3 linked regions of the Saccharomyces cerevisiae S288C genome follow. The gene in region 2 interacts genetically with the main gene of each other region. Each region holds a gene or a part of one and is shown on either strand. Other genes may lie near its edges.

The links.
Region 1: mutations in LEU2 (region 2) and SUI2 impair growth when combined (synthetic growth defect), as found in Saccharomyces cerevisiae (one study listed by BioGRID).
Region 3: of LEU2 (region 2) and ATF1, changing one suppresses a phenotype caused by changing the other (phenotypic suppression), as found in Saccharomyces cerevisiae (one study listed by BioGRID).

The regions. Positions count from the first base shown.
Region 1 is NC_001142.9:449,035-452,550, reverse strand, and holds SUI2 (translation initiation factor eIF2 subunit alpha), read right to left. Parts: upstream 1,532-3,516; coding exon 617-1,531; downstream 1-616. Other genes in the region: MHO1 (Mho1p), read right to left, coding at 1-121; DNA-directed DNA polymerase delta subunit POL31, read right to left, coding at 1,886-3,349. UniProt on the Saccharomyces cerevisiae protein: eIF-2 functions in the early steps of protein synthesis by forming a ternary complex with GTP and initiator tRNA. This complex binds to a 40S ribosomal subunit, followed by mRNA binding to form a 43S pre-initiation complex.
Region 2 is NC_001135.5:89,682-93,037, reverse strand, and holds LEU2 (3-isopropylmalate dehydrogenase), read right to left. Parts: upstream 1,715-3,356; coding exon 620-1,714; downstream 1-619. Other genes in the region: NFS1 (cysteine desulfurase), read left to right, coding at 1-261. UniProt on the Saccharomyces cerevisiae protein: Catalyzes the oxidation of 3-carboxy-2-hydroxy-4-methylpentanoate (3-isopropylmalate) to 3-carboxy-4-methyl-2-oxopentanoate. The product decarboxylates to 4-methyl-2 oxopentanoate.
Region 3 is NC_001147.6:1,044,201-1,048,356, reverse strand, and holds ATF1 (alcohol O-acetyltransferase), read right to left. Parts: upstream 2,132-4,156; coding exon 554-2,131; downstream 1-553. Other genes in the region: YOR376W-A (uncharacterized protein), read right to left, coding at 3,006-3,161. UniProt on the Saccharomyces cerevisiae protein: Major alcohol O-acetyltransferase that uses acetyl-CoA to synthesize acetate esters from various alcohols, producing ethyl acetate, isoamyl acetate, isobutyl acetate, butyl acetate, hexyl acetate, heptyl acetate and octyl acetate.

The sequences.
Region 1 (3,516 bases), on a different chromosome or scaffold from region 2:
TGGCGTTGTGAATTGGGCCTTTAAGGGTACTTTTGATCAAGTATGTATGCAGTTGTTGAGATAATTCTTGGGCTCTATTGGAATACCATGAGCCTGCATGTGTTGCTGGACGTATTGACATGTTTGAAAAATTCTATTCTTTGCACTGTAGTCCACCTAAGCCACCGACTAGGACCACTTCACTTAAGTATCAGTCAGACTTTCCTTTGAAAATATATCAGTGTGTATCCGCATGTTATCTGTTTTGTTGAAAATCACATGAGTGGACGGCCCCTTTGTCTTGTCTTAGTGTTCCCCAATGATTTAAATGCAATTCCGAAGGAAAGGGGGGAGCCTCATATTATTACAGCATCACTACCTTTTGAGGTAAAAATATCTCATGTGAAAAAGATAAATTATAGAGAACCGGCAGGGCATGCTCCACTGACAACCCCGTGGTAACAGAAATTAAATTTTGATTATGATTAAATGGATTGTAATATTTATAATAGCCAAATGTACAAGGTGTATATTGCAAAGAATATGATATGGCAGGATATACGTATTTGTTCTATACAAAATTTTCTAAAACAGTATGACACTTGAAAACACCTAGAAAAATTAGGCGCGGCAATGATTACTCGTCGTCTGACTCATCCTCATCGTCTTCAGAGTCAGATCTATTATCTAATTCTTTGCTTTCTAATAGAGCTTGTAACTCAGCGTCTTCAGTAGCAGTGACAGCCTTTGGTGGCATGGTAATGTTGCAAACACCGCCGTATTTTGTAATAACCTCTGTAATTTTTTCAATAGCGCTTTCCAGTTGTTCAATACCTTTTTGCTTATCCAAGGCTTGGGTGGTCAAAACATATAATGGGGCGGCGACTAATTTAACTTTAACTTGCATTTGTTCTGTGGACATGTCTTCAGCTGATTTTAATGCGTCTTTAATGGCATCGATACCTTCGTAACTAAAACAAGACACTTCAACATCGGCTCTAATCTTTACAGCTTGTGGTGTTAATCTCTTGGAGATATAGTTCTTTAATTCATCTAAAACATCTTTTGATGGCGGTTCAATACCTTCCCAAACAGTTTCGTCAATGATGGATAGTTTGAAAGCTTCGTAAGCGTGACCAAATTTTCGACTTAATGGCCAAGCAATGGTCTTATATAGTTCTTCCAAAGGGATTTGGAATTTTTCGGCACAGTATCTTAAAATGGAATGAACAGTCTTAGATTTTTGGTATTTTTCTTCACATTTAATGATATCTTCAGAAGAAACACGACGTTTGGACAAATCAATATAACCTTTTTCTTTGTCGACACGAAGAACAACGGCGACATCATTTTTACCAACACGAATTAATTTTTGGATTGACCTAATACGTCTACGGGACAATTCACTTAGTAGAATCATACCTTCAATGTTGTCATATTCTAACAATTTAACATAAGCACCCATTTCAGCAATCTGCTGGACGTTAACCATGACGATATCGTCAATTTCTGGGTATTTGTTTTCATAAAATCTGCAATGAGAAGTGGACATTATTTGGTGTATTATAGAAGGTGCGTGAGGCAGCAGAAAAGACACAAAAATATGAAGACAAAAACTGATTAGTAAACAGATTGCACTTTACTCTTTAATGACCTAGGAAATAAACAATGGTTGAAAATTTGTAAATGCGATTTTATACTACTATTTCATCAGATTTGTGCTTTCTCTTCTTCTCTTTTTCGCCTCTTCGAAGAAAAAATTTTTCTCCGACTGCGGGTAAGAAAAAACGCTCATAGTTTTTCTACCAGCTGTGACAAGAAACGTATTTTGAGCTGAACGATGAATGCTCACTTTTACATATAAAACTTAATTGCATATCTATGTGGAAATTATTCCTTGTTTTATTTAAATGTCAATCTTGACCGTCTCTGCTTCTAACGTTTCCAAATCCAGTAATATTATCATCCCAGTAGAACTGAATTCAGGGACAGATATTATCTTTATGTTCTTACCACCTATTTCCACTACTCTTGTTCCAAAATATGGCTGGTTTGCCACAATGTAAACGTGGGGCCACTTATCCAATACAAATGGATCCTTATCAGTGTACGGATAACACCATAAGGTATCAGGTGCGGTGGGCGCGATGTTTTGCCATTTCATTGTACATTCCATAAGGTCCAGGCGATGCTCTATATCGTCTTTGAAATCATTACTCTCGCCCTCCTCGACCTTGTTTTCACTTTCTCCGTTATCATTTGATGGTATTACGTATTTACAAATATCATTGATATTTTTGCCTGAAACGGCTAGAACGTCTACGCCATTATAGCTAAACTCATATGGGTTGGTCACTAAATTCAAAATTTCTTTGTTAGAACCGTTGAAGTATGATTCTAGGGACTTATCAAACAATGATTTGTGGAAAGGCTGTTGCGGTAGAGATTTGTCACTTGGATCATTGGTTCCGGGCATAATATCAACAGATATAGATGGCAAAATGTTGTGTAGAAATTTACTGAACTCAGTTAGAGAAATCATCAATTCGTCTTTGTTCACGCTTTTAATGTCGAAGTCAACAGAGTTGCCGCATATCAGTAATCTACCAATTAGAGAAATGTCGTCAATTTTGTTATTGATTCTCCCCATCAAAAATTCTCTCAAAATCTCCAATCTCAATAGCCTATCAGGTGATGTATTATTGAGGTTTAACCCAGAAACAAGAGCAATTTTTCCCCTGGTGGGGCAGGTAGCAATTGGTGCAGGGAAAGGATTTTGTGGTAAAGGAGTGGGGTAGCATATGTCTAAAACTTGAAATGTCCCGGCTTCAGCTTCCATACCCAGTATACCTACAACAACACCCGTGATGAAGGGTGTAGACCGAATAAAATCTCCCACTAGAAGCACTCTCCCACTTTCATCTTCGAGCATAATTTCATCAGAACCACCCTCTTTATCAGTATAACTTTTAGTTAAATCTGGTGCACCATATGTATCATTGATCACTTCGTCCAGTACGTTTGGTTTATATTTCATCTCGCAATATATGGATCCTACGCACCAACATGGTTGGTTTCCCTGAATATCTAACACTTTGTCCTTTTTTAGAACTAATTGGCCATTCAAGGTAAAGCCCGCATCCCATCTCTTGTCACATTCTTTTAAGACGCGTTCTCTGAAAGTCTTTAGACGGTATTGATAAATGTGGTAGTACTGAGAACCGTAGTCACGTTTTTTATAGCATAGTTGGAATGGATTCGATTTGTTGTAAAGATTGTCGTCAACAATTCTTACTCTCGTTCGTGGTTGGGACAAGTTTTCATCTTGGAGACTTCTATCCTCGTTGAACTTTGTTAACAATGCGTCCATTGCCCTTCACTTCCATTTTTGCAGGAAAGATTCAGCTATAGTTCGCTTATTGCAATGGGATTTCAAAAATAGTTTATATTTTAACTTTTGAAATTAATCAGACGCGTCTGATTAATCGTATAACATGATATAAATCTAGAGTTAGTATTGGCGGCTATTTTGCTTTT
Region 2 (3,356 bases):
GATATCGCATTATCCTCGGGTTCAGCCTGTACATCTGCTTCCCTAGAACCTTCTTATGTTTTACATGCGCTGGGTAAGGATGATGCATTAGCCCATTCTTCCATCAGATTTGGTATTGGTAGATTTAGTACTGAAGAGGAGGTCGACTACGTCGTTAAGGCCGTTTCTGACAGAGTAAAATTCTTGAGGGAACTTTCACCATTATGGGAAATGGTTCAAGAAGGTATTGACTTAAACTCCATCAAATGGTCAGGTCATTGAGTGTTTTTTATTTGTTGTATTTTTTTTTTTTTAGAGAAAATCCTCCAATATATAAATTAGGAATCATAGTTTCATGATTTTCTGTTACACCTAACTTTTTGTGTGGTGCCCTCCTCCTTGTCAATATTAATGTTAAAGTGCAATTCTTTTTCCTTATCACGTTGAGCCATTAGTATCAATTTGCTTACCTGTATTCCTTTACATCCTCCTTTTTCTCCTTCTTGATAAATGTATGTAGATTGCGTATATAGTTTCGTCTACCCTATGAACATATTCCATTTTGTAATTTCGTGTCGTTTCTATTATGAATTTCATTTATAAAGTTTATGTACAAATATCATAAAAAAAGAGAATCTTTTTAAGCAAGGATTTTCTTAACTTCTTCGGCGACAGCATCACCGACTTCGGTGGTACTGTTGGAACCACCTAAATCACCAGTTCTGATACCTGCATCCAAAACCTTTTTAACTGCATCTTCAATGGCCTTACCTTCTTCAGGCAAGTTCAATGACAATTTCAACATCATTGCAGCAGACAAGATAGTGGCGATAGGGTTGACCTTATTCTTTGGCAAATCTGGAGCAGAACCGTGGCATGGTTCGTACAAACCAAATGCGGTGTTCTTGTCTGGCAAAGAGGCCAAGGACGCAGATGGCAACAAACCCAAGGAACCTGGGATAACGGAGGCTTCATCGGAGATGATATCACCAAACATGTTGCTGGTGATTATAATACCATTTAGGTGGGTTGGGTTCTTAACTAGGATCATGGCGGCAGAATCAATCAATTGATGTTGAACCTTCAATGTAGGGAATTCGTTCTTGATGGTTTCCTCCACAGTTTTTCTCCATAATCTTGAAGAGGCCAAAACATTAGCTTTATCCAAGGACCAAATAGGCAATGGTGGCTCATGTTGTAGGGCCATGAAAGCGGCCATTCTTGTGATTCTTTGCACTTCTGGAACGGTGTATTGTTCACTATCCCAAGCGACACCATCACCATCGTCTTCCTTTCTCTTACCAAAGTAAATACCTCCCACTAATTCTCTGACAACAACGAAGTCAGTACCTTTAGCAAATTGTGGCTTGATTGGAGATAAGTCTAAAAGAGAGTCGGATGCAAAGTTACATGGTCTTAAGTTGGCGTACAATTGAAGTTCTTTACGGATTTTTAGTAAACCTTGTTCAGGTCTAACACTACCGGTACCCCATTTAGGACCACCCACAGCACCTAACAAAACGGCATCAGCCTTCTTGGAGGCTTCCAGCGCCTCATCTGGAAGTGGAACACCTGTAGCATCGATAGCAGCACCACCAATTAAATGATTTTCGAAATCGAACTTGACATTGGAACGAACATCAGAAATAGCTTTAAGAACCTTAATGGCTTCGGCTGTGATTTCTTGACCAACGTGGTCACCTGGCAAAACGACGATCTTCTTAGGGGCAGACATTAGAATGGTATATCCTTGAAATATATATATATATATTGCTGAAATGTAAAAGGTAAGAAAAGTTAGAAAGTAAGACGATTGCTAACCACCTATTGGAAAAAACAATAGGTCCTTAAATAATATTGTCAACTTCAAGTATTGTGATGCAAGCATTTAGTCATGAACGCTTCTCTATTCTATATGAAAAGCCGGTTCCGGCGCTCTCACCTTTCCTTTTTCTCCCAATTTTTCAGTTGAAAAAGGTATATGCGTCAGGCGACCTCTGAAATTAACAAAAAATTTCCAGTCATCGAATTTGATTCTGTGCGATAGCGCCCCTGTGTGTTCTCGTTATGTTGAGGAAAAAAATAATGGTTGCTAAGAGATTCGAACTCTTGCATCTTACGATACCTGAGTATTCCCACAGTTAACTGCGGTCAAGATATTTCTTGAATCAGGCGCCTTAGACCGCTCGGCCAAACAACCAATTACTTGTTGAGAAATAGAGTATAATTATCCTATAAATATAACGTTTTTGAACACACATGAACAAGGAAGTACAGGACAATTGATTTTGAAGAGAATGTGGATTTTGATGTAATTGTTGGGATTCCATTTTTAATAAGGCAATAATATTAGGTATGTAGATATACTAGAAGTTCTCCTCGAGGATTTAGGAATCCATAAAAGGGAATCTGCAATTCTACACAATTCTATAAATATTATTATCATCATTTTATATGTTAATATTCATTGATCCTATTACATTATCAATCCTTGCGTTTCAGCTTCCACTAATTTAGATGACTATTTCTCATCATTTGCGTCATCTTCTAACACCGTATATGATAATATACTAGTAACGTAAATACTAGTTAGTAGATGATAGTTGATTTTTATTCCAACATACCACCCATAATGTAATAGATCTAATGAATCCATTTGTTAGTTAATAGTTTAAATGTTTTTATCGGAAGAGGTTTTGTCATCACATCAGCAATGTTCTTCTTGGTCTCGATGTAGTATACGTATAAATTATTACCTGATACTTCATCTCTAAGTCTCATTGCCTTTGTGCCAAAAAATCTGTTTCTAAATTTCTCTTCATTTGTAGACTTAATTATACTGATCGTTGATCTACTATCAGTAAGTAAGCCTTTAATAATTGGTTTCTTGTTAAGTTCTTGCACAAGGTGACTGAGGTTATTCAATAGCGGAATAGCTTCACTGACTGCGTGTATTTCTGCTTCTGTAGTTGAAGTGCATGTTAACGAAGCCTTTGTCGACTTTCCTCCAATCACTTTTCCGTTGAGTAGGAAAATGTTACCAATTTGTGACTTGTAATATGGTTGGTTACCATATGAAGCATCGCTTATTGCGACTAGTTTATTATCTGGCTTGGTAGGTTTGTTTTTGTGCCATATTAATTGTTTATCTCTAGTGTCCCACATGAATTGTATTAACTCATATGTCATGTCTAAAACTTGCCTAGAGGGGAATAGTATATGTTGAGCAAGTGTGTTGATGTAGTATAGTAAGTCAAATCTAAATTTATATCCAACATATGAAGCTAGACCAATCAACTTTTGCATTTCATGTACTTTCTCTTTGTATTCATCTTCATCTATTTCTAGTTCATCCTGGTCTATATAATGACCTGGTT
Region 3 (4,156 bases), on a different chromosome or scaffold from region 2:
GGCCTTGTTGGTCTAGTGGTGTAGGCGCCCTTCAAAAGTTGCGTTTCTTGGGTGGGAGAAGTCCGAAAAATGCGTATCCGAGTGTACAACGGTTTTTTTTCAGGGACAATATGCCAAGGAATACCGTAAGCAACGGCTGCGCTAATACATCCATTAAAAATATCTCTCCTTGCTTAAGGTCTCACACCCAAAATGACAATGAGAGTGCTATTTTAGTTGTTCATCAATTTAGTATATACCAGCTCCCACAGGACGACGATTCTGACCCTTTCTATTTAAATAGCTCCTTACATCGAGAAGATCTCTGCAGCTAATCAAATCAATTAATATTTCAGATTTGTCGCGATTTTGAAATATATACTATAGGTTGTTATCTATCATATGCAATGTTCTGCACGTTATTTACTTCGATCTGATCTTAAATCAACTCTAAAAAAAGAAACCGATAAGTCCCTTTAACCAACCAAAGCCGAGGGAGTGACAACATGAAAGTGGGTTATTTACACGACATAATCATATTGTCGAATAATATCAGTCAAGCATCATGTGAGATCTAAGGGCCTAAAAGGAGAGCTTTGTAAATGGAGCAAAGCTCTTCGAGAGATTCTTGACTACCAACAACATTCTTTGTTGAAGCAACAACAATATTCATCCCCTTTACATTAGTCGAACAAACACCCAAGGAAAATGCTTGGTGCCAGGATCCTTGAAATTGGCCAAATGCCAAATCGCATATAGAATATTTGGCATCGGGCTCCTCTAACTGATTAAACAGACCTACATTGCTTAACAATGTACCTCCGCGTCTTTTCCCGATGGCACGATCGCACATTACCTTGTCAATGTTCACATATTTTTGAACGAAGCCTTGTATATTGAACCCTAAGCCATGGAGATGCTTTTTATTTCTTAAAGCTTCCGAAATTACTTCATGGTAGTGCTCAATAAGTGGCCAAAAATTTTCTTTGTTATCATTCATGTCAAATTCGCTTATCCAGGGGGTGAAGTCAATAAATCCAACGTTAGCGCCATATCTGTACATCTGTCTCATTTCATCATCATCTGGTAGTTGTGAGCGGCAATCTGCGGGGATAAAAATATCCGTAAGCCATTCGAAGTTCAATGGTTTGAAAAATTTACCCCATTTATGAAGAGATACAAACCAACAAACATGTAAAAACGGAGTGATAGTACACTTACCTTGGATATTTGATTTAATATTTGCTTTAATCGCTTGAAATTCTGTTGGTGAAATATTGATGATCTCGGTGACAACATCATCGGTTTTTTCCACATCATCCATTCTCATACAGACACCTTTTGAAGAAAATCTCAAATGATTGTAGATGAAACCCGAAAGAAGTGACTTCGGAATAAACAAGTACGGTGGTCTAAAGTCTATCACCTTTTCGATCGGTTCTGGAAGTTTCCTCAATAATTGGTAATCCTCCTCGTACTTGAAAATGTAATCTAATTTTTTTGGTGGAGTTTTAATATTATTTAATTCGTCTCTTAAATCATGAAAAAAGTGGATCGAAGACCGACCATCAGACATGCAATGATTAGATACAAAGATAAATTTTTTCCACTTTTCTGTGTGCTCTTCTGGAAGACAAATTAGCCGCCAACTCGGTCCTGTTGGTCCAAAGTAAGGAATAGTCAAAGTGGTAGTAAGTTTAAAAATTTTTGCAGTATAGGAACCCTTACTATTTTTGAATTCTTCTAATATTTGCTTCATTACTGCACTGTACTCAGGTTGTTCATTGAGAACCACACCACTCAGTTTCAATTCTTGTAATACTGAAATATAATCATGCACTGGATGTGGCCGTGAATAGTATTCGGAACTGCGATAATAATTTTCATGATTTGGCCATCTTGTTGGTAGAACAATATGTAAAAGAGTTGGATTTTTCAGGCAGATTTCCCTCAAAGCTAATGTGAGCTGATCCCTAGTACAGTAATCACTCAATTCTCCATATGTGCAGAAGTTTCGATATAAGTTTTGTCTGTTGAGAGCAACATACAGATCTTCAACAGATCCCATACGCCGAGCATGCCCATTCTGAATCATCTCTTTCAGGCATTCTTGTTGCACGGGGGCCTGATTTTTCTCATCGATTTCATTCATGAGAGCTGATAAATTGATGGTATTTGTGATACTGATGAAGTGCCGTTTTTTATTTTCTTGTCTCGAATTTTTGTTGGGTTGGCTTCAAAAAGACGCTTCCAGAGATCCATAAAAAACAATAGGATTATATTCAGAGTCCGCTCAACGCGATGACAATACCAGGCCAAAAAATGATGTGCGGCAAAAAATATAAAAACCGTAAATCGCAAGCCAATGAGTAGTCCTCACACGCTAGATCTATATATTCGGAAGTGAGAAGACCATCGAGTGCATTGAACCTTAGCTCAATGTCCAAAAAGTCAATTCTAAGGGTGGAATAGTCCTGTGCCAACAAATGAAGCTACAATTTTCTGCTGCCTGGGTCCATAAACCCTAACCTTACTTCTTTGCATTTCTTCGGTTTGCACGTGATCTCAATTGATAATTCCCAATTCTGATTTTACTTGTCAAGTACAAGTACTCTAACATAAGCTTACCACTTCTTAATTATCCGGGTGTCAGTTTATTTTATAAACACGGTAATATTTTGATAATCTTTGGCAACTTTTAGGAAATACTCCTTTACCTATATACATCGCGACCAAAATTAGCAATCTTTTACGATGAGTACCTCAGAAAATACTGTTGAATTCTTTCAAGGGGTAGCAAAACTGTCCAGAGCTTATATCTACCTGTGCTCAAAATACAGTTGAAACCACCTCTTCCTACAGTGGTATAACATATGAGAGAATAAGCTATTAACGGTTGGTCGTTAACACCTCAAAATTGTATATTCCTGTAGTTCACTGTCAGTAAACTGAGATTGTTTATTTGTGCCATTATACCAAATTTAGCACCCTATGTGGCAATTTTTCAGATTTGCCACGCTTTTGCTCTACTTAAATGGAATGCAACAACAAAACTTTGTTTTAGCATCGCGGGATTGAGGATGAAGAGAATACTTATGCATCTCGTCTTGAAATACTGTCGCCCAAACTTCTAAATACGCTTGATTATACCATAAAATTGTCCACCCAAGATGGAATGTCATTACAGGAATATTTATGGCTGTCCTCCTTATCTTCACATTTGAAGGGAGAAATAGAGGGGCGAAAAGAGAAACTATTCGCCGGAAACTTAACGGTAATATTATAGATGTGGGGCTTGCAGTTACCTTTTAGCACCCAACTATAAGTGTATCACACCATTATTAATGAGAAAGTCTTAACATTCCAGGAGGTACAAAATATGACAATCCTAGAAACTCTGTTTGCAGTGCAATGAGTCCAAATTTTTTTTTAACTAAGAGGATGCCTCCTTCGCAAACTGTATAGTTTTCCATTTTCTTCTGCCATTTCATCTTTGGAGTAACTATTATTTCGCCCCTTTTGTTTGCTGCATATCGCCCCGCTCTCTGCATACACGATTGGATAATGACCAAAGCAAGGTTTAATACGCCCACAGTTAGATATCTATAATTTTAGAGTACGATATTCATCATCATAGGCTGAACCTTGCCTTTCCTTGCATTCTTTATTCCCATTGAGGTATATTTTAAAATTTGTTCGGAGGTAAAGAAGGATAAGCTTTTCTAGTAATTTCCCTCCTCGATCGGCCTCAGATTTCCCGTCATAAAATATACGCGCCATGGAGAGATTTAATGACATAGATGTGCCGCAAAAGCATACACAGCGTATTTTCTTTGAGTATTTAATAGGTAAGCTAAGTTTCGTAGCTCGTTAGTAATATTACTCTATGGATTCTGTGCCACTTCTTCAAACAGGGCGCGAAAACCTTGAAGAAGCAGCGCACTTGATGCCCCTAGTGAGAGTCACGTGACGGTTATCCCATTTAAGGTATTCCTGTTGCGACCCCTCTCACACAGATATATCTTGCGGCTAGAGATAGGTTGTGATTAGGAATAGATCTGTAGATGTCTAGAGGAACGGCTAATGATTGGAAACGTCCGAGGAACATGAAGAAAGACGTAAAGTGGTAGCAATTCCGCGCTTGTAACTTGCGTGGCATGACCAGAAAGCCCACTTC